Caenorhabditis elegans: one gene and its partners. The protein of the gene in region 1 interacts with the protein of each later gene in a pairwise test. Each region holds a gene or a part of one and is shown in the gene's direction. Other genes may lie near its edges.

Region 1 (5,020 bases):
TGAAGTGACTATTTCATAGATTCTGACAAAAGAATACGGTAATTGGTCTCGAAGCGTCTTTGACCTATCAATTTCCGATCGTGTCGACCCCTGATACCGTAATATTGAAGATTTACATTAAAACCAGATGGTTCTAACTATACACAATTGGAAAAAAAAACTTACTCGAACAATACAAGAATCCAACACCACTTCAATAGAATCATCATACCCTCCACAGAATTTTGGAATTGTAGGAAACGAGGCTTCGAAAGAATCAAATGAAGATGATGAACTGTAAAACGCTTAATTTTCAAAACAATCGAGAATAGAATGACAAACTCTTTGAATGCACTTAGATCATGCTGATACGAACTAAATATGTGTAGTTCGTGATCATTCAACTTTCGCTTGGAAACACCATGAAGGAATAGGGTACTGTCCTGAAAGATTTGGAAGATATTTTCAAATTGTTTTCTACGAATGCTTACAAATACAGCACATGCTGGTCCAACATAACCATATCCAGGTTGATATTCAGGTGGTGTATTTAGAATTAGGGCATTACCAATTAAAGGTAATATAAAATAATGAAGACTTTTAACCATGGCAACCAAAGGGTACACCTAGTCAAAGACTCTATTTGGTCGTGATGAGTTCAAGTTACGAAGCAAGAACAAAGATGGGACTGTGAGGAGACAAGGGGCGTCGCTTCTCGGCACACAAACTATGGTGTTGTTCCCACGGCCGGAAGCTGCTTTACACGAACCTTATGCAATCGGACGCTCTATGTTCGTACACACACACAATACGCTCGTACGATCGGCCAGCCTGCAACCTTTTTCGATGTGAGGCTTTGTTTTCCAAAATTAAATATACACAAACAGACAAAATCTAATTCTCGTTAAAGGTCAGAAAGGGGTTGGAATGGAGATGACAATGAAATAGAGGTGGGAGGAAATTTGATACGATGGCCGGCGAACGGACGGTCGGGAAGAAAAAAAAAAACTAAATTTGTCGAGAATCTTCACGTTGTTTGCTTTTGCATGCTCTACACACTTTGAAGTTTTTGAAACGGTCATTCGACTCCCGAGAATAAAAAGATGAAGATGTATATCCATTTCATTGTAAAGAAAGAATCAAAACGGTCAAGCTATGTTAAGCACAAAGCACATGGAAAATAAATTTAGAATATTCAATACTATGCATAACAACACTCATTCATACACTTTCTGCCAGTTCTGAAGAGTTGAGAGTGAGGAAATATCGACTTTGGAGCAGGTATCTCTGAGAGCACAAGTATATTCAATTGATCTACTTAGCATTTGATCTCCAGAAAAACGGAGATTAATATAAATGCTATGTTTACATTTACTGTTACATCTACACAGGGTCTTCACTAGGTCAGCTTGGGATTCGTATAAAATTAGGTCCCTGAAGAATTAGGTCTCGCCGCGAACTCGAATCACATGGGTTTTCAGAAAATACAGTACCCGACACCATATTGAAACTACATAATCCAAGCCTACTATTTTTTCAAAAAGTCGAAAAAAATGTTTTTTCTACTCTCCTACATGCCACGCCTCCTTTCAGCATATTACCTTTTCGTATATTAAGTTTTTCACCAGTTCTCCTTTCCATGGACTCTCAAGTGCGTGCGGAACCTCAATAATTTAAAGGAACATGCATTTAATGGAGAAATGGGTTTCACCACGAACACCACGACTACGGTATTCGTTCGAAAATTATCCGAATAAATACGGAACTCCTGTTCTAAATAGTGATTTTTGATTGTTTTTCATTGTTTTCTCATTTTAATGTTCTAAATTCTCATGTGCAACTATTTTAATTAATAAAAATAAATAAAGTACGCGTTGCAATTGTTTTTTCAAGCTGAACTATGCCTCCTTGACCTAAAGTAATTATTTTAGGGGTAATCTGCGTTCCTGATGAGTCGTCCGATTTCAATTGGGAATACATGCACATTTGATCCTTCAGCTTCTCCGATTGAATCTCTTGGGAGGAGCATCGGTGCTCAGAAAATAGTGGATAGTGTATGCGGATCTCCGATTGTGAGTCTTGTTTATTGCAATATTGAAATTATTTTTTATTTTGAATAGAAATACAATGTTCATGCAATAAATCACACTGATAGATTTGCCGCAGTGTTTGTCAATTAAATTTTCAATAAAACAATGATTTCAGAGATCGTATGGCCGTCATATTTCTACCAATCCAAAAAATGAACGCCTTCCCGATACACCAGAGTTTCAATTTGCCACTTACATGCATCAAGGAGGAAAAGTAATTGGCCAGAATACATTGCACATGTTCGGAACTCCACCATCGTGTTATTGTGCTCAAGAAAATATTCCAATCAGCTCTAATGTCGGTCATGTCTTGAGTACTATCAATAACAACTACATGAATCATCAATACAATGGTTCTAATATGTTTTCGAATCAAATGACACAAATGCTACAAGCACAAGGTTAGTAAAAACATATTTCGAATATGGAAATTCTCCGTTTTTACAGCATATAATGATTTACAAATGCACCAAGCGCATTCTCAAAGTATTCGTGTACCGGTTCAACCGTCTGCCACAGGCATATTTTCAAATCCCTACAGGTTTTTTTCTAAACTCAAAAATAGTTTAAATATTTGTATATTTCAGGGAACCAACAACCACCGACGATCTTCTAACTAGATATCGTGCAAATCCAGCCATGATGAAGAATTTAAAATTATCAGACATTCGTGGAGCACTGTTGAAGTTTGCCAAAGATCAAGTTGGCTCGAGATTCATTCAACAGGAACTTGCTTCCAGTAAGGACAGATTCGAGAAGGACTCTATATTTGATGAAGTCGTTTCCAATGCTGATGAGCTCGTTGATGATATTTTCGGCAACTACGTAGTGCAGAAATTCTTCGAATATGGCGAAGAAAGGCATTGGGCTCGGCTCGTCGATGCAATAATTGATCGTGTACCAGAATACGCGTTTCAAATGTATGCCTGCCGTGTTCTTCAGAAAGCTTTGGAAAAAATCAATGAGCCACTTCAAATAAAAATTCTTTCTCAAATCCGACACGTCATCCATCGTTGTATGAAAGATCAAAATGGAAACCACGTGGTTCAGAAGGCCATAGAGAAAGTCAGTCCACAGTACGTCCAATTCATTGTCGATACGCTTCTAGAATCCAGCAACACAATTTACGAGATGTCTGTGGATCCCTACGGTTGTCGTGTTGTCCAACGTTGTCTCGAACACTGCAGTCCTTCGCAGACGAAGCCTGTTATCGGCCAAATTCATAAACGTTTCGACGAAATTGCAAATAATCAGTACGGAAACTATGTGGTTCAACACGTCATTGAACATGGAAGTGAAGAGGATAGAATGGTTATTGTTACTCGTGTCTCCAACAATCTATTCGAGTTTGCCACCCACAAGTACTCGTCGAACGTTATCGAAAAATGTTTGGAACAAGGCGCAGTTTATCACAAGTCCATGATCGTAGGAGCTGCGTGTCACCATCAGGAAGGGTATGTATATTCATGAAAAATGTAGATATAATTATTTCATTCAGATCTGTACCGATTGTTGTCCAAATGATGAAAGATCAGTACGCCAACTACGTTGTTCAGAAAATGTTCGATCAGGTTACATCAGAACAGCGCCGTGAACTCATCCTAACTGTTCGTCCACACATTCCCGTTTTGAGACAATTCCCTCATGGAAAGCACATTCTTGGTAAGATATTGCAAAGAATGATTTAATAATATTCAACCTTAATTTGCAGCAAAACTTGAAAAATATTTTCAAAAGCCGGCTGTCATGAGCTATCCATACCAAGATATGCAGGGATCTCACTAGCCCAATCAGTTTTGTACTATTCCCAACACTCAACTCCTCACAAATGTACCTTTAGTTATCTCAAATCCGGTTGTTATACCGGTTCTTTTTGTTATTCCCTGTGCATTTCTGTAGACAGCTTATCGTAATTTGTAATGTTACTCGTTTTGTAATTTTTTCCTAATCTTATTTTAGCATAAAAATTTGAAAAAAAAGTTGTTGAACATTTGTTTTAAAGATGTTTATATATCTCCCTTATATATCTTGAATTACTTGAAAACCGTTTTCGCACAAATCTAAATGTTTGAGATGGAGTCTGGTGATCATCTCGGAAATCTTTTCGATGATATGGTAGAAGAGGATAACGATGAAGATAGTTTTGAAGAACCTGCGTGTGAAGACAGTTTTGATTCTCAAGAAGCTTCATCGAAAGCTAACGAACCTCAAAACGACAGTTTCGATGAGCCTATTCAGAGCTCAGTAAGTAAACAAAGTGATGATGCAAACGGAGAAGATGAAATTAATGAAGAAGTCATACAAGAACAGAAGGAGCTGGATTTAAATGAAGAGGACTTCAATCTTTTGACGATTGGTTTGTTTGTGAGTATATATAAACGTTATAAGACAATCATGTTACAGAAGAAGTTCCGTTGGATGTTCTGACAGCTCGTATAAGAAGAGTGTTCACCGAAGTCACATATAGAGCAGAGCCTGCAGCGATAGCACTTTTTGACGTCGCACACAAAATAATTTTCAAGTCAACTATGTTAGATTGCAAACGGAATACTGTTATTGATTCGATAATTGAAGGGCTTATATCGATTATTGTTGATGAACGAGAACGAGATCAAGGTGCTGAGGAGGCCGAGCATGTACTTATGATATTCATCGCAAAACTTGCAATTAAAAACAAGTCAATGAAGTGCAGTGATCTTCTATATAAGCTGATTCTTCTTGTCGATCGTCTTTATTTGCACGCTGATTCTTTCGTTCGTTGTCGCATTTATCGACTCATCGCGTGTCTTATGGAAGAAGCGAATCGGTATGCTGATGTTATGCGGGAGCATGGAGATGACGCATTCCTCTCTGATGAAGATCCTACAGAGAGTGAAGTTATGATTCCAAGCGGAGTGAAAAACCGATGGATGGGAAAATTGGCGAAGAGTTTGTTGGACAAGTCGCCAGAA
Region 2 (5,452 bases), on another chromosome or scaffold:
ATAACACTGAAATTCACAACAAATTCAGCAAAAAGAAGAGGTTCAGTACATGATGCGTCAAGTAACAGATAGTGTTAGATTTGCAATGTGTGAAGCAATTGCACACAGACCGGGTCTTTGGGATTCAACACGAGAAAAAGTGAGCTCGGCAGCACGGAAAAATCTCTTTGCTGAAGTTGTTGAGGTGATTAATCAACAGTTCGTGTTGAGCCCTCCGCTCACAAGTAAGTTATCATTTCTACTTCAGTTATAATTGGTTTTTTTCCAGTCGAAGAAATCGAAAAGCATTGGAAAAATCTGAAAGACACATACGTGAAAACTCGACGGAAGTTAACATTTGATCATGATGGATGCCCTATACGACCGAAATGGAAGTTTTTTGATTCGCTCATGTTCCTGGACAGTGTGAATCAAAACGATTTTGTGATGAAAAAACGTCCGATGCAATTCCAGGGACAGCCGTACGATTTATACCAAGGTCCCTCTTCTAAGAAAGAGAAACTAGAAGAAATGCCATCTGACGAGTACATGGAATTCTGTCGATCGTTGTACCTCCCATTGAAAGAAATAGGATACAAGGATCGCATACACTGGCTGAAGATCCAAAAGTCCATCCGTGACATCGTTTACGAAGCGCAACTGGAAAGTGTTACTAAAGCCGCACCTGATTTGCAATAAACAATTTGTGTTAAAAATACTGATTCTAAACTGTTTTCAACAATTTATTGTAACAATAACAAACAGCTTATGCGCTCTCAGATGGAACGCTGAGGATGATGTCGGAGTCTCCGGCATCAGTGACTGCAAGGGTGCACACACGGAAGAGACGTCCACAGGCGGTTCCGAGCTCAATGTTGTTTCCGTTGTAGTGGTGAACTCCAGTTTTGGCGAGCATGGCGTAGTACTCAATCTCGGACTTTCTGAAAATTAATCATGAGTTAATAAAAATCCGAAATGATAAATATTGATTTACCTGAGTGGTGGAGTGTTGTTGGCAATGATGACAAGCTTAGCCTTTCCGTTGAGAAGGGATTTGAGAGTCTGCTTGTATCCGAGGACGTATTGTCCAGTCTTCATGACCATGGAGAGTCGGGAGTTGATGTTCTCAGCATTTTTCTTGACCTAAACGAATATATGGATCATCAGGCGTTCGAATATTGGAGAATTCGCGAGCGCTTACATTGAGCACCCGAAGCCCGTGACAGAATGAGCGGGGAAGCTACTCCTTCTCAATTAAATCACCCGAGCTCCGGATTACTCCATCGCTGCTCGAAAATTTAACTCCAGAGAAACTTCACTAACCTGTGGCTTAGCAGCTGGAGCCATGATGATTTACCTGAAAATAGAAAAAATAACTGCGTGAACTTCTAATTTGAGCCACGTAAATAGAGCAAAAGAAGGACGGCACATTAAAAAACAAATAACTTCAAAACGTCTTTACGAAAGCGATCATCCGTACTACTTCAGAAAATTTCAACGTCTCAAAAAATAAGTGGTAAGAAATTCAATTTATAATAGTTTACAGCTTGAAGAATTATATAAAAAGGCGTTTATCTGTTGAAAGTTTGCAACTAAAAAACAGAAATAAGTCGAATAAACTAAAATTTGGTTTCAAAAACATAATTTTCTGCAAAAAAGAAACGAAACAGCGAAAAGTATCAGATTTTGGGCCAGAAATAGGGGCAAAGCAGCGATAACTACGGTTCGCGATGCATTTCGTGGCGAGACCCATCGGCACATTCCCTCCTCCCTTGAAACACTAGTGTGTCTTTTTCCGGTTTTTGGGATCCGAGTTCTCCTGGCTCTGAGCAAAAGGACAGTAAATCCCAATTTAAACTGCTCAAAAACCCATAAAAATTTAAAAAACCCTAAAAATCACCAAAAAAATTATTCTTTGGACGATCCGACACCAAAACGTGAGTTTTATTGATTTTTCCTATTTCGTAATTCGAACCGTTACTTGTTTCCGTGCTAAATTGTTTTCTATGATTATTTGGGAAGGACATATAGTTTTCTGTCTCTTTTTGTTGAATAACAAGTAATTTTTTACCGATACGAATAATTGCTGCGTGTTTCCCGATCGATACTTCCCAGGTCCCGAGATGTGAGCGTTTATTAGACAATTAGGCTAACTCCGCCCTTTCTGCTATTCTTAGCGTACTATCGTCATTTGCTCTTTAGTTGTAGGTAGGCAGACACTACATTAACCCGCGGTCTGGCTAGACGTCGCCTGACTTCCTCGCTAGACGTTGTTCCGTGACCCAACTCCTCACCCATAATAAAAAAGTACGGAAATACGTGACGGTCACTAAAATATTACTTCTATTCTATTTATTCAATCTTCAATTCAGTAAAATCATGGAAATGAACGTCGCTGCTCCCGCTGCCGCCGTTGCTGGCGCTGCTGCTCCTCAACCAGGCCAAAATCAGACCGGCTCGTCGTACACCATGGCTTCGCTCTACGTCGGAGACCTCCACCCGGACGTCAACGAGTCGATCCTGTTCGAGAAGTTCAGCGCTGCCGGCCCTGTTCTTTCTATTCGTGTCTGCAGAGACAATGCCACTCGTCTCTCATTGGGCTATGCCTACGTCAACTTCCAACAACCAGCTGATGGTTTGTTTGTCTCCAAATTCACTTCAATCTTTAATTCAATTCAATTTTCAGCTGAACGTGCCATGGACACCATGAACTTCGAGGCTCTTCACGGCAAACCAATGAGAATCATGTGGTCTCAAAGAGATCCAGCTATGCGTCGTTCGGGAGCTGGCAATATCTTCATCAAGAACCTCGATAAGGTCATCGACAACAAGTCAATCTACGATACCTTCTCCCTGTTCGGAAACATTCTCTCCTGCAAGGTAACGTTTTCTTTAGAGCATTGCCAAACCGCCTTCAATTTATGTTGTACAGGTTGCTATCGACGAGGACGGATTCAGCAAAGGCTACGGTTTCGTTCACTTCGAGACCGAGGAAGCTGCCCAAAATGCTATCCAAAAAGTCAATGGCATGCTTCTGGCCGGGAAGAAGGTTTTCGTTGGCAAATTCCAGCCACGTGCTCAACGCAATCGCGAGCTTGGAGAGACTGCCAAACAGTTCACCAATGTCTACGTGAAGAACTTTGGAGATCACTACAACAAGGAAACCCTTGAGAAGCTCTTCGCCAAGTTCGGAAACATTACCAGCTGCGAAGTCATGACTGTCGAGGGAAAGTCCAAGGGATTCGGATTTGTTGCTTTTGCTAATCCAGAAGAGGCCGAGACTGCTGTGCAAGCTCTTCACGATTCAACCATCGAGGGAACTGACTTGAAACTTCATGTCTGCCGTGCCCAAAAGAAGTCTGAGAGACACGCTGAATTGAAAAAGAAGCACGAGCAACACAAGGCTGAGCGTATGCAGAAGTATCAAGGAGTCAATCTCTACGTCAAAAACCTCGACGAGACTGTCGATGATGATGGCTTGAAGAAGCAATTCGAGTCTTACGGAAACATCACGAGTGCTAAGGTTGGTAAACTTTTTCAAAATGCTATCATATACATAATATTTTTAGGTCATGACTGACGAAAATGGGAGATCAAAGGGATTCGGTTTTGTCTGCTTCGAAAAGCCGGAGGAAGCTACAAGTGCAGTGACTGAGATGAACTCAAAAATGGTGTGCTCAAAGCCATTGTATGTGGCTATTGCTCAACGTAAAGAAGATCGTCGTGCACAGCTTGCTTCTCAATACATGCAACGTCTTGCAAGCATGAGAATGCACGGCAACGTTCCAGGAGCAGCCATGTACAACCCAACACAGCCAGGACCAGGATACTATGTTGCTAATCCGATGCAACAGGTTAGTTTTTTGTTGTTTTTTTTGTAATGCTCGAATTTATTATTTCAGCAGCGCAACTTCGCCGGTGGACAACAGATGGTTCGCCCAGGAGGTCGCTGGGGAATGCAAAATCAGTACCCAGTCCAAAATCAGTACATGATGGCTCAAGGCCCAGGTGTCTACCAAAACCGCATGGGACGTCCACAGAACCAACAAGGAGGACCACGCGGTCCACCACAGCAGTACAATCAAGTCGCTCAAGGAGGCGTCCGCATGCAGGGACCACCACGCACCCAAAATCCTGGAGTCCAACAGCAAAACGTTCCACGTCCACCACAGCAACAACAGCAGCAAAGACCAGCTCCAACCGGACCAAAGGCTCCACCACAGCCATATCAGGCATACCAGCAAAGACCACAAGGAATCGTTATTGGAGGACAAGAGCCACTCACATCTGCAATGTTGGCCGCTGCTGCTCCTCAGGTAAGCTTACTTTGTTTTGCAATACTTAATTTCATGATACATCTTTTCAGGAGCAAAAGCAACTTCTTGGTGAGCGTATCTACGCTCTCATTGAGAAACTCTACCCGGGACACAAGGACGCAGGAAAAATCACAGGAATGATGCTCGAAATCGACAATTCCGAGTTGATCATGATGCTTCAAGATAGTGAATTGTTCCGCTCGAAGGTCGACGAAGCTGCATCGGTTCTCGTTTCCGCTCAGAAGCAATAAGTTCATTGCCAAGTGCTCTTAGCACGTTCCCCCAGTTGCTAAGCATACCCATCTCCTGTTTTTTTTTCTTACTGTCACCCTTCTTTTTGTTACTTGTTAGTGGTTGGTTTAGCCGCCCCACACCCCACCCCTTGAGTAAGCTCACTTTTGTGATGTTTATTCACGTTAAAATAAAATCATAAAAATAATCAATGTTAATGGGCAAGTTATAGAAAAAAAAGAAGCAATGTTACACAGATGCCCTTCGCAAACGCATTCGACACCTTCCATCTCATCCCACAAAACAGCTTTTCTACACCCAATAGGAGAATCGGATGGAACGCAAATTCGTTGTTCACGTATCAAACCATCTGAAATTCGAAGCTGACTGCAATTGTATAATAATTAACTCACTAGTCATGGGCGCTGTTCGTCTCGAACATTTCGGACCAACACATGTTGAACCATCGAAATCACAATAACCTTGAAATGAATCGCAAACGAAACATTGCGTTGAAATTGTTATAGGAATTAATATTAAACAAAATGCTACACTTCGTTTCATCGTGAACATTTAGTAAAATGAGTTAAGTTTTGGTATCCGGTGAGAGTAAACATTTACTACTTGAACACAGGAATTCGACTACTGTTCGTGACTCTAGAGACTATTAATATTGGAGAAAGGAAAGTCAGCGTTTTGTTTAAAGACACAAAATATAAAAGAAGAATCAGCAAAGTAAAAAGTTTATAAAAATTAAATTATGCAATTATAAGAAAACGTCTAAAGTTCATCGTGAAGGTTTCTTTTCTCGAATTCCATATGATAGTCTTTCTTTTCTTTTTTCACTTTCGTTTGTCGAATATTTAAAAATGCATCTGCTTGCTCCGGTCTATCTGGAATTTGACTACAAAGCCAACGAGTTTGTG
Region 3 (8,767 bases), on another chromosome or scaffold:
CAGTTAAAAAGTTTTTGGCAAATGATAGCTTTCGAGTACTAGTTGAGGTGTTTTTCAAAATTTTAAACTCAAATTAATATTTTTTCCGATGGTACAACCCATTTTCTTCATTTCTATACCAGTTTTTCATTCATTCAATATAATGAATTATAACATTGAAACAAACAGTTTTGTAAGTTTTGCAGAAGATTTGCCGCCCACGCTTGTTGTAGATACCGGGAGCAATTCATAGTAAATTCCCCACAAGTCCACGTTTGAACGTACCAAAACTCTTTGCATCTTATACTTTTCCACGTAAGAGAAACATTTCTCCGTCTTCTTCTGATATTCATGATAATGTGCACACATGAACATCTCACACGCATCCACAATTGGTTGACATTGATAACGATCTGCGAGTTGGAGAAGATAGTCGAGGCTTTTCTCTGCAAATTTGATAATAATTCGATTCTCAAAATTGTGGAACATACTTGTAACAGGTTGTCTGTGTGGATAAATACATCTGAGGAAAGTTATAATCTCACGGAACTTCTCTTTCATCTCATAGATTTCTTTATCTTCACCCAATTCTCCATAGAATAATGCTTTAAAGAATGGAGACATCATTGACAGATATCTTTTATTCACACGAATAAGACGATCTTCAACTTTCAACAAAGCATTCTCTTCTTCTGGTAGAACATCAAAATAGTCGTAGAGCATTCCGAAGTTCATAGTTTTAATGACATTCACTGTGATTTCTACTCTCATACTTCTCAGCTTCTCTCGAACCATATGATCTTGAAGCTTCAATGGACGAAAGTAGACATGATTGGATCCTGTATATCGTCCAGTAAACTTTTCGCTTCTCACAGAGTTTGTAACGTGAGCCCGAATTTCGAATTCAACTTCCGCTGACCAGGTGGCTGGAGTTTTGAAGTAAGCAGCAAAGCATTCGAAGGAATTTGCACGCAACTCAATTTGCCTGACAATTCAGTTTTGTTATGGGATTATATTATTTCTCAGAAGCAACGTTGATCGATTTCCGTGCAAAAATACGGTTTCTCGAAACGACAATAAAGAGTACTGTAGTTTCAACTTCTTAAAAATTATGTTTTTTTTTAACCATAAAGCCAAAATTCAGCGTTTTTTCCAGAAAAGTGAACAATTTATCGTTTAGAAGTAAAACTGACCATTTCATACACTTCAAATGAATCCAATATCTGTAGACTTTGTGCTCCTCGTCTAGGACCAAATCAAGAGTCTTGCTACTCTTAAAATCATCACTTAAATCCACAATATCCACTGGATACTCTTCAGCGGCAGCCTTGTTCGGAGCCATTTTCAGACTTTACCCTGAAATTTTCGATAAGATTTTGTTGGGGAAAAAAGAATCTCATAAAAGGAGAAAAGGCATGAACTGAAAAAGAAGCACGTGGCAGACCGAAAAAAACGGGGAAATCGATAGAAAAGGGTTGTAGGGGCAAGGAGACATCTAAACAACACACATGCTATATGCTGCCCCAGTATTCTGCGTCTCTTCTCTCTCTCTCTCTCTCTATAAGAACGAGAAAGCAAAAACATGATAAAACCACTTAAAAAAATAAGAAAGCTTTTATTTTAAATAAAAATTTAAAAATAAGAACATTTTAGTTATGCTTCAATTTTAAAGTGGCCACAATGTTGGTGAAAAAAAATTAATTTTTAAAAAAGTTCACAATTTTATTGGAAATTTGCTTATAAAGTCGATATACGTCGAAAGAAACACTAAAAAACAACAAAAAACAGAAAAGACCTACTAAAACGAGCAACTCACCATATTCCAAATGAAATGTCAAAACTCTTGAAGTGAACACAATCTTCGATCTTCCTCCACTGATCGGAGAGCGCGCCAGCAGGTGCTGTTGGCGCGCGACCGGTGCATTGACGCGATTCTCGTGCAAAATTTCGAATGCAATTTTCGCCTTTTAAGGGACAGTTTTCAGTTATTTTACGTTTAAAAACTTTTAAATTATTTAAAAAAAAACAACAGAAAAACTTTAAATATTGTTGTCTGTCTGATGTTCATAAAAATTCGTAAGATAATCCATTATTTTTCAAGGGTATTAATATTTTAGTTTCTTGAGTGTATTTCTTTGAATATTGTTCATTGTAAAAGGATTATGGTTTCCATTTCTTTTTAGTGATTTCATTAATAAATTTTTGCAATTGTTTATTACAATTTGAAAATGGTTTCGCGCAAGCTATCGAAGTTTAGGATGTTGTTTTCTAAATCTTTTCTAAAAAAAGTTTTTTTCCTTCCAACTTTAATCTTTCTTCCATATAATCAATATTGATTGTAGATCGATGTCTCGTTCAGGCGAGGCTTATGCGCAGGAGTTGAACCGCAAAAGGGTCGCAAACCAGCGTGCCGCGGCAGCCGAAGACAACGATGAGAATAAGGGAAACGGAAATAAAGTGGCCTTCGGAGCCGCTGGTAATTTCGACACGGTTAGTGAATTCTAATACTTTATTTGAAAATTTGAAAATTCTCTATTACTTTTTGAATCTTTTCAATTTCAGGATGTTTACGGAAGTGTTCGTGGTGAAAATCGGGATAGTTACCTAGACTCGATTGGAACCGGAGAAGAAGATGACGTCGATGAGGATTCGATGCCGAGTGTACAAAAGAAAAGTACAAATTATGCACAGCCACACAAATTCATCGAAGAGGTGGCTGCTGCCTCCGAGGACACTGATCCATTCGCAGATACTCGCACAAAAACCATCGCAGAACGACAATCCAAGTATCACGAAAGAGCTATGAGGAGACAGATCTCTCCAGACAGAGCGGATGCTTTTGGTAAGATCGAAAATCATTTTGACTTTAATTAAATTTATTCTTTCAGTTGATCAAACTCCTGACAATCGGAATCGAGGTTACGCAGAAGTTATGCGTGATCAGATGTACCATGAAGAGAAAGGGCGTGTTGAACGGGAGCTTGCCGATCGAGCAAAAGCTGGAGAGCTTCATGTTACTGGACAGCCAGAGAAAAAGAAAGGAAGATGGGATGCTGAAGCTCCATCAACTGATGCATCTTCTGATAATCTTGGTGCAGCTTCTGCAACTCCATCTCAGGGTTCTGCTCCACGAAAAAGATTAGGATTTTCGAAGATTAGTGCAGATGCAGCAACACCAAGAGCTGCTAGATGGGATGAAACACCGGCTCACTCGACTGGAGCAGCTGATGCAACTCCTTCTGTGGATAAATGGTCAACGACTCCGGCAGCACAGACCCCGAGAAGAAATCGTTGGGATGAAACTCCAAAAGAGAATCTCAATGATGGATCAATGACACCGGGATGGGGAATGGAGACTCCTGCTAGAGGAGGATCAGATGATGTTAAGATTGAGGATACTCCATCCGCATCGAAGCGTCGTTCACGATGGGATCTGACACCATCACAAACTCCGAATGTGGCAGCAGCTACTCCACTTCATTCCGGATTACAGACACCATCATTCACACCGAGCCACCCTTCACAGACTCCAATCGGAGCAATGACTCCAGGTTTATTACAAAATATTGTAATTAATATAAAATTAATATAAAATATATTCAGGTGGAGCAACTCCAATTGGAACGGCAGCAATGGGAATGAAAACACCAGCTCCTCATATGATTCCAATGACACCTGAACAAATGCAAATTTACCGATGGGAGAAGGAAATTGATGACAGAAACCGTCCATTGACTGATGAAGAACTCGATTCACTATTCCCACCTGGCTACAAGGTTCTGGTTCCTCCAATGAACTACATTCCTCTGAGAACACCATCACGGAAGTTGATGGCCACTCCAACTCCAATGGGTGGAGCTGCTGGTGGAGGATTCTTTATGCCTGGAACACCAGATAGAGATGGAATCGGAGAGAAAGGAGTCGGTGGTCTGGTGGATACTCAACCTAAGAATGCAGAATTACCACCTCTAAAGCCAGATGATATGCAATATTTCGATAAGTTGTTGATGGATGTAGATGAGAGTCAACTCACGAAAGAAGAGAAAAATGAACGGGAAATTATGGAGCATTTATTGAAAATCAAAAATGGAACCCCGCCAATGAGAAAGAGCGGATTGAGAAAAATAACAGAAAACGCGCGAAAGTACGGAGCAGGTCCACTTTTCAATCAAATTCTTCCACTTCTCATGTCACCATCGCTGGAGGATCAAGAACGGCATTTGATGGTAAAAGTTATTGATCGAATTCTATACAAATTGGATGATCTCGTCAGACCATATGTGCATAAGATTCTTGTCGTCATTGAGCCACTTCTTATCGATGAGGATTATTATGCAAGAGTTGAAGGTTTGAAAATTTAGAATAAATTTTAAAATTTAAAAATTAAATATTTTCAGGTCGTGAGATCATTTCCAACCTTGCAAAGGCCGCTGGATTGGCAACAATGATTTCTACAATGAGGCCTGATATTGATAATGTTGATGAGTAAGTTTGTCGACAGTTTTGTTGATTTTTCAATTAAACAAACACCAAATATATGGTTGTTCAATTTTCCCTGGAAAACAGTAAAAAAATTGAAGAAATATTAAAAATTAGTTTGAAACTATAGAAAATCTGGCAACTTTTGGCCATTTTTGAGAACTTTCTGAAACGTTCCAGCTGAAATTAATGTTAATTTCAGATTAATCAAGTGATTTTCTATAGGTTTACACTAGTTTTTAATTTAAAAAAGTCCGAAAAGACCGAATTTTTTCAAAAAAAGTTTTAAAAATGTATTTTTTAGATTTTTAAAAATCTCACTATGAAATTCGGTATTTGCGGGTCAGTTTTAATGAATTTAAAGCAGAAAAAACATCACAAAGCTTTTAATCAAACCCAAAAATTTGCAGATATGTCCGTAATACAACCGCTCGTGCATTCGCTGTCGTCGCCTCAGCTCTCGGAATTCCAGCTCTCCTCCCATTCCTTAAAGCTGTGTGCAAAAGTAAAAAAAGTTGGCAGGCTCGGCACACGGGTATTAAAATTGTTCAACAAATGGCCATTTTGATGGGTTGTGCAGTATTACCACATTTGAAAGCACTTGTTGATATTGTTGAAAGCGGATTGGATGATGAACAGCAAAAGGTTTTCTTTTTAATTTCTAAAGTTTCTGGAATTGATGCAAATCGTTTCAGGTCCGAACTATCACTGCTCTCTGCTTGGCAGCTCTCGCCGAAGCTTCATCTCCATACGGAATTGAAGCTTTCGATTCAGTGTTGAAACCTCTTTGGAAAGGTATTCGTATGCATCGTGGAAAAGGTCTTGCTGCATTCCTTAAAGCTATTGGTTACCTGATTCCATTGATGGACGCAGAATATGCTTCATATTATACAAGAGAAGTGATGCTCATTTTGATTCGCGAGTTTGCATCGCCAGATGAGGAAATGAAAAAGATTGTTTTAAAGGTGAGTGATATAATAACCAAAACATTCGTAGAACTATCGTTTAACATTTAAATTTGCAGGTTGTCAAGCAGTGTTGTGCAACAGACGGAGTAGAAGCGAGTTACATTCGAGACGAAGTACTTCCAAGCTTCTTCAAAGCATTCTGGAATCAAAGAATGGCTATGGATCGTCGTAACTATCGCCAATTGGTTGATACAACTGTGGAAATTGCTCAAAAAGTCGGATGCGTTGAGATGATTGCTCGAATTGTTGATGATTTGAAGGATGAAAATGAGCAATACAGAAAAATGGTTATGGAAACAATTGAGAATATTGTAGCGTTGCAAGGAGCGACTGATATTGATGCTCGACTTGAAGAACAACTGATTGATGGTCTTCTTTATGCTTTCCAGGAACAAACTCAAGAAGATTCTGTGATGCTTGATGGTTTTGGAACAATCTGCTCAAGTCTTGGACGACGTGCCAAGGCATATATCCCACAAATCTGTGGTACTATTCTGTGGCGTCTCAACAACAAATCTGCAAAAGTTCGTCAACAAGCTGCTGATTTAATTGCCAGAATTGCACCGGTTATGCATATGTGTGAAGAGGAGAAAATGATGGGACACATGGGAGTAGTATTGTATGAGTATTTGGGAGAAGAATATCCAGAAGTACTTGGATCAATTCTCGGTGCATTGAAAGCAATTTGCAATGTTATTGGAATGACCAAAATGACTCCACCAATCAAAGATTTGCTGCCAAGATTGACACCAATTTTGAAGAATCGTCACGAGAAAGTGCAGGAGAACTGTATCGATTTGGTGGGAGCAATCGCTGATAGAGGATCTGAATTTGTATCTGCAAGAGAATGGATGAGAATCTGTTTCGAGCTTCTCGAATTGCTTAAAGCTCACAAGAAAAGTATTCGAAGAGCTGCAATTAATACATTTGGATTTATTGCAAAAGCTATCGGACCACATGATGTTCTCGCAACGTTGCTCAATAATTTGAAGGTAGGCTCGGATTAGAAGTGATTCTTTTAAAATAAATTATTTTTCAGGTCCAAGAACGCCAGCTCCGTGTGTGTACAACAGTCGCCATTGCCATTGTTTCGGAAACTTGTGCCCCATTTACAGTACTTCCAGCAATTATGAACGAGTATCGTGTACCTGAAATTAATGTACAAAACGGAGTTTTAAAAGCTCTTTCATTCATGTTCGAATACATTGGAGAAATGGCAAAAGACTACATTTATGCAGTTGTTCCGCTGCTCATTGATGCATTAATGGAAAGAGATCAAGTTCATCGTCAGATTGCAGTCGACGCAGTTGCTCATCTTGCTATTGGAGTTTATGGATTTGGTTGTGAAGATGCACTTATTCATTTATTGAATTATGTGTGGCCCAATATGTTGGAAAACTCACCGCATCTTATTCAACGATGGGTGTTTGCATGTGAAGGAATGCGAGTTTCGTTGGGACCTATTAAGGTTTTTATTTTAAATTCTTAATAATTTCAAAAATTAAAATTCATTTCAGGTTCTTCAATATTGCCTGCAAGCTCTTTGGCATCCAGCGAGAAAAGTTCGAGAACCAGTGTGGAAGGTAATTATTTTAGTTTCCTTGAATTTTCAATTACAGAAATAGTGGAAATATTCGGAATATAGCTTTTAAAATATTTATAGAATGTTTCTAATTTTTTAATGATTTTTTTCAATTGAATTTTTATTTTTCAGAGAAAATTTATTTTTATTGTGAAATATCTTCTTTTTTTTCGACCAAAAGTGAGCGACCGGAAAAATTGAAAAAGGAAAAAATTAAATACAGGTTGCGCGGGAATTCAAAAATGTTTTGGTACTTCTCAAATTTTCCGCAAAATTTAAAAAAAGATTAGAAAATTTCTATAAATTTTTTAAAATTTGTATTCGGAATATTGAGACGTTTTTTCCACAAGCGCTAAATTTTTATGTAATTTCATATTAATATTTCCAGGTCTTCAACAACCTAATTCTTGGCTCCGCAGATGCTCTTATTGCCGCCTATCCACGTATCGAGAACACCCCAACAAATCAATATGTCCGCTACGAACTTGATTATAATCTTTAAATAATTTTCTAATTTTTGTTTTTTTTATTTGGATCTCGATAACTTATTTTTCTATCTCCGTGTTCCCTCCCTCCTTTCATCACATTTTCATAGAAAACGAAACCTTTTATATTTTAATCCCATTTCCCTCCAAATATTCTCTTGAATCTAGATTAATCTAACAAAATTGTTTTGGTTGTCAGTGGTTTTTTTTTGTTTTTCTATTACTTTTCTCCAATATCAATCAATTTATTCCCAAAAAAAAAAACAACAACAACTCTTGCGATAGATATTTAAAATGAAGACTTGTCAAATTATTTTAATGTTTTAAAGAAATCCCTTTTTTTTTGTTGAAGTCAAATTTCGCTTATTTTTTCTCGTTTAAAAATTTTTTAAATACCTTAAAAAATATCAGAGTTTCCTAATACTCTCCAAATATAAAAATAATTTTCTAATTTTATTTTTGGCAAAATTATCTTTAAAAAAGAAATTTTACAAATTCTTTCAATATTAGTTCCTTAAAAACGAAAATTTTGCGCTTTTTGCAGCAACAGTACAGTGGCTGGTCTCGAAACGACAAATGTGTATTAAATGCAAAAATGGTGTGCGCCTTTAAGGATTACTGTAGTTTAAGAATCTCTTTGTTACGGAATTTTCATCGATTTTTCATAATCTTCTTTCAATTTTTATTTTTCTAATCGAAAAACTTTTGTTTGCACAGAATTTTCATCGATTTTATCTCAAAAATATATTTACTCATACAAATATTAAAATACTTAAAATTTGAACAAAATCTATGAAAATTATGCAGCTACGATATTTTTGTTAAACACATTTTTGCATTGAACTAAAATTGTCGCGTCGAGACCGGTTACCGTATTTTTTGTACAAATGTTCGCGTCTTTGTAATAATTAAATTCTCTGAAAATTAGTTTTTCTCAAAAAATCGATTTTTTTCAGTCATCCCTTCCAAGTGAGCAAAAGAATTTCGAAAATCTTCGTTCAAAAGCGCAGGTGCTGCTTTGGTCCGTGAAGGCGGTGTGGATCCACGGGGATGGCGTTCGAAATAGCTGGACCCAGCAGCAGCAATAACTCAAGTCAACGGAGAGCAACCACTGAACCACCGCCTGAAAATGAGCTACAACTTGGACTTCACGAGGCACAGAAGATGACATGGAATGCTAAAGTCGTGTATCACACGATCGACAAATGTCCGCATTGTGATCCGGTTCGTAATGGATAGGGCACAGAATTATTCATTAAAATACTGAAAAATTA
Region 4 (4,166 bases), on another chromosome or scaffold:
CATTGTCGAAATGAGAAATCGAATTTCGGATAAAGACCAAGATGATATGTCATTCTACAACACTAATCAAATGATTGAAACAAAAATGACATCTTTAGTGTGCAAATTCAGAGAAACGTTCTTCGAGGTACAGTTTATTTCAATATTTATTTATTTTTTAATTTCTATGCCATTATCAGGAATTTGGTGGATTCACAGTAAAATGTACACTTTTACCAAATGCTTACGATAACGGCAACTGTCTCAATTACCGTTGCGAAGATCCAGATCAGGAGGTCAGAAAGAAAGCTGTTGCCTGGTATCGAGCTTGTTACGGTAATTCAATTTTTTTGTTTCAATTTTTTGAACTATTGTAATTTCTTTGTAGAGTGTGCTCAATCCACGAGAGAAGTTCGGAAGCTTTCATTTGCTTGGATTGCATATGACGTCATTGCCAAAGTCAAGGAGACTAATGTATTGAATAACGAAAGAATGCAGATTGGTGGAGCAAATCCCATGTACACTTTCCTAGAAGAGCATCGAAAACAATATTTGATTGATCACGATGCGGATTTCAAGAACTTCTGTGAACTCGATCATCTAATTACCGGTGAAAAATCAAAAGAAGCGATTTCCATTCTGAAAATATATCTGGAGATGATACCAGGGTTGGACTCTGTGTTCTTCATGTTAATGCGATGGGGAGAATCATTACGATTGTTTGATGGAAAACCAATCAAGATTTATCACTTTTTCCTCATGTTCATTCTTTTTGCAACACGACAATTGGCATCTGCTGATGGAAATGCAGAACCGTTTTTCAAAATAATTGAAAAAGAAGAATATGAGAAACAGAAAAGAGATTCATCGAGAGGCAATATCGATCCACTTACTGAAAAAAAAAGATCAGATATGGTAAGGAATAAGGGGGTCATCGAACATCGTCGATTTTTCGATTTCTTCGAAAAAGTATGAAAAAAGAAGAGAAACCTTTGAATTTTGTCTATAAACATCTATATTTTGATAACAAAAATAAAAAATTCATTGAAATATATAGAGAAATTATAGGAAATTGTAGAAAAGTTGAAATTTTACCGAATATAAAACAAAAAAAACTTGAATTTTCGATTCATCAAAGTTGACATAAGTCCATTCAGCTGTATGATTTGTAGTCCAACATTGGCGAGAAATTCAAAGCCGAATTGTGTATTTTTTTCAGATGGTCAAATTCTTCCAATTTATGGGATGTCGGAAGTTCAGAAAAATGTCGACTTTATCCTTTTGTCCTCTCAACTTCTCATCGATTTTTATGCGTGGAGAATGGCGAATATTCCATGAATCAGCTCTCAAAACCTACTACAATATTCTGTTTAATCTACGTTTTGAAGAGCTTCCAGTATCATCTGATCCAACAATTACAGCTGAGACGATGGATCGAGAGTGTGAACCATTTGTTATCGAGTTACCCGGTATGTAAAATCTTTTGGAAATAAAAAAAATTGAGTTTTTTTTCATTTAGAAAATATAAATGTGAATGATCTGATCAATAATATGAAGAAACACACAAATGTTTCAACTGTAAAGATGCGGCGACAGGAGAAAAATCCGATAAACGATAAGGCGAAACCAAAGACTACAGGTAATTAAAAACTCTTCATATTGGTAGCATAAAATAATTGTTTTCAGTTCGTTACATCGTCTCCGTCTCCGGAACTCTCGAATCAATTCAAATGCTCAAAAAGCTTTCAGCAGTTACAATTCCAATCAAAAGTCATTGGGAAGGAGAAGAAGTATCACAACAGATGGCATCTCTTTGCTATCAAAAAGTTATGAATGGTGAATTTTAATCTCGTATTTTTGTTGAAATATGCCATAGACTCTGTTAATGTTTTTTCTTCACTTACATTTTCAAACCTTGTACTATTTTTTCTGTTTTATTTATTTTTAATTCCTTCTACCATTTGTATTTGTGTGTAAACTGACCAATTCCATCATCAAATGATTGATTAATAATTTTAAAATATTTTCTCCGTGGTATAAAACATTTATTTATTTTAGATTTTCGTTTCGTAATCGATATTCCCAATGTTATTTCGTTATCCAATATCTGCTAAATGAGGGTTGATAAAATCCAAATTCAAATAACCTCGGGTTTCAGTTAAACAACACGCGCTACGACACTCCGTTCTCTTTTCGAATTTTGTTCGCTGAAGAGTGTGTCTGTTTCTTCGTTCTTTCTTTTAAAATGGTCTTCGATCCAAGAACATTGGATAATCCTAAGGAAATTAGTGCTTACAGAGATCAAAGATACCAGGTAAGCCTTTTGTTTTAACAACTTTTCGGGTTTTTATCGAATAAAAGGTGTTGTTGCACAATACGAATTCAAATTTGTAGTTCTCAATTTCAGGGAACCGTTCGAGACCAGGAGACTGCTCTACGCACATCATGTACACTTTATGTTGGAAATTTATCATATTACACTAAAGAAGACCAAGTCTATGAGCTGTTTGGAAGAGCCGGTGACGTCAGAAGAGTGATCATGGGATTGGATAGATTCAAGAAAACTCCTTGCGGATTCTGCTTTGTCGAGTGAGTTTTTTCCGCGATTTTCATTGCTTCTCTGGACTTTTAACCCGAACAAATAAAATTTAATTAATTTTTATTTTTATTTATTGATTTCCAGATACTACACAAGAGAAGACGCTGAGCTGGCTCTTCAGAACATCTCAAACACTCGTATGGATGATCGTGTAATTCGTGCTGATTGGGATGCTGGATTCATTGAAGGACGTCAATATGGAAGAGGAAAACACGGTGGACAAGTTCGTGATGAGTATCGAAAGGATTATGATCCAGAAAGAGGAGGCTACAATCGCGCTATTGCTCAAAAAGGTTAGCAGAATAAAAAAAAATGGAAAAATCGTTTTAAGTTGTTTCAAATTGGTTTTTTTATTCGTGTGACTATTAAGAAAAATGAATCTTCTACATTTTTCAGGCGGTGACCGTCAATAATCGTTTCCAAATCCATCCAACACGATCCTCAATCATCATTCTTCAAACAAAAAAAATCACAAAATCTGAAAATTATTACCGTATATTCTCTATTAGTGCTGCATCTCCAGTAGTACTGCAGTCTCTAATAGTGCTGCACTCAAAAAGGGTCCGAAAATTAGTGCTGCAGTCTCTATTAGTGCTGCACCCCATTTTCTACTGAAAGAGTCACTCAATACATAGTTTTGACATTCTGGGGAGTGTTTTGTATATTTTTGAAGATTTCTAGTTAACTTACAAACATAATTGAGTTATTAGGTCATTTTTGTTACAAAATTTCACAATTTTAATGGATTTCTGCTTAAAAGGTGAGCATTTGTGACTAAAAACTAGTGATCTCCAATTGAAAATAGCCGTTCGAAAATTAGTGCTGCAGCCTCCAGTAATACTGCAGTCTCTAATAGTGCTGCACTCAAAAAGGGCCTGGAAATTAGTGCTGCATGCAGCACTAATAGAGAATATACGGTATCTCTGTTTCCATCTTGTTTTAACGTTTTATTTATTTTTCTGTTTGTGTTTTCTTCTCCAAACTTGAGATAAAGCCATCTTCCTCCATCGATTTTTTACAGATGTTTAAAAATAATTATTGAGGCAGGTGAAAATTTCCCAACACAATATCATTCTTTCTAACCGCATTTTTCCAGTTTTTCTTATTTATTTACATATAGATGACCTCAATTCTTCGAAAAGTGGAATGGGTTCGAGTAGCAGGGAAATGGACGAAAATGTCCGTCATGGGGTTGGATATTTCAGACGAAACGCTGAAAATTCAGAAGAAAAAGGAGAACGAGAATCGAGTGATTATTTTAATGATTCCAGGTAAATCGGGAAATTGCGCTTTTAAAAATTTAAGAAAATTTTAATTTCAGGAAATCCCGGAAACGAAGGATTCTACGCTCATTTCGGACGAGAAGTTTTGCAAAATTTGATAAAGAAAGATGAAGATGAGCAGAAAAACTTGAAAAATCAATATTTATTCTACACAGTTTCAAGTCTCAATCATGTTCGAATGCCAGATCATTTGAAAGATGATGGAGAACATCGAAATCATGGTAATAAATACAAATAAAACGAAGAACCGTTCACTCCAGCCTTTTAACTTATTTAGTTTCGCCGATTTCGCAGTATTTTTCGCC

The links.
Region 2: the proteins of puf-8 (region 1) and pab-1 interact in a two-hybrid assay, tested with the Caenorhabditis elegans proteins (one study listed by BioGRID).
Region 3: the proteins of puf-8 (region 1) and sftb-1 interact in a two-hybrid assay, tested with the Caenorhabditis elegans proteins (one study listed by BioGRID).
Region 4: the proteins of puf-8 (region 1) and ncbp-2 interact in a two-hybrid assay, tested with the Caenorhabditis elegans proteins (one study listed by BioGRID).

Annotation. Positions count from the first base shown.
Region 1 is NC_003280.10:7,295,138-7,300,157, reverse strand, and holds puf-8 (PUM-HD domain-containing protein), read left to right. Parts: upstream 1-1,910; 5' UTR 1,911-1,928; coding exon 1,929-2,051; intron 2,052-2,184; coding exon 2,185-2,470; intron 2,471-2,516; coding exon 2,517-2,610; intron 2,611-2,656; coding exon 2,657-3,523; intron 3,524-3,567; coding exon 3,568-3,731; intron 3,732-3,780; coding exon 3,781-3,854; 3' UTR 3,855-4,043; downstream 4,044-5,020. Other genes in the region: C30G12.1 (uncharacterized protein), read right to left, coding at 166-274, 322-422, 471-587; C30G12.6 (uncharacterized protein), read left to right, coding at 4,143-4,425, 4,473-5,020.
Region 2 is NC_003279.8:10,432,138-10,437,589, reverse strand, and holds pab-1 (Polyadenylate-binding protein), read left to right. Parts: upstream 1-2,351; 5' UTR 2,352-2,358; coding exon 2,359-2,614; intron 2,615-2,665; coding exon 2,666-2,859; intron 2,860-2,911; coding exon 2,912-3,502; intron 3,503-3,548; coding exon 3,549-3,833; intron 3,834-3,881; coding exon 3,882-4,295; intron 4,296-4,345; coding exon 4,346-4,546; 3' UTR 4,547-4,729; downstream 4,730-5,452. Other genes in the region: madf-10 (MADF domain-containing protein), read left to right, coding at 29-224, 269-678; rpl-30 (Large ribosomal subunit protein eL30), read right to left, coding at 746-920, 974-1,122, 1,303-1,326; Y106G6H.1 (Saposin B-type domain-containing protein), read right to left, coding at 5,307-5,452.
Region 3 is NC_003281.10:4,262,825-4,271,591, reverse strand, and holds sftb-1 (Splicing factor 3B subunit 1 domain-containing protein), read left to right. Parts: upstream 1-2,321; 5' UTR 2,322-2,325; coding exon 2,326-2,469; intron 2,470-2,541; coding exon 2,542-2,821; intron 2,822-2,867; coding exon 2,868-3,530; intron 3,531-3,582; coding exon 3,583-4,326; intron 4,327-4,376; coding exon 4,377-4,464; intron 4,465-4,868; coding exon 4,869-5,103; intron 5,104-5,153; coding exon 5,154-5,423; intron 5,424-5,482; coding exon 5,483-6,418; intron 6,419-6,465; coding exon 6,466-6,894; intron 6,895-6,943; coding exon 6,944-7,009; intron 7,010-7,396; coding exon 7,397-7,510; 3' UTR 7,511-7,809; downstream 7,810-8,767. Other genes in the region: R10E4.1 (BTB domain-containing protein), read right to left, coding at 265-425, 471-964, 1,173-1,321; depd-5 (DEP domain-containing protein), read left to right, coding at 8,544-8,717.
Region 4 is NC_003279.8:7,641,300-7,645,465, reverse strand, and holds ncbp-2 (Nuclear cap-binding protein subunit 2), read left to right. Parts: upstream 1-2,137; 5' UTR 2,138-2,224; coding exon 2,225-2,293; intron 2,294-2,386; coding exon 2,387-2,568; intron 2,569-2,662; coding exon 2,663-2,871; intron 2,872-2,974; coding exon 2,975-2,991; 3' UTR 2,992-3,009; downstream 3,010-4,166. Other genes in the region: rrf-1 (RNA-directed RNA polymerase), read left to right, coding at 1-127, 180-315, 368-894, 1,199-1,448, 1,499-1,618, 1,666-1,826; F26A3.1 (Lipid droplet-associated hydrolase), read left to right, coding at 3,699-3,849, 3,900-4,082. UniProt on the Caenorhabditis elegans protein: Component of the cap-binding complex (CBC), which binds co-transcriptionally to the 5' cap of pre-mRNAs and is involved in various processes such as pre-mRNA splicing and RNA-mediated gene silencing (RNAi).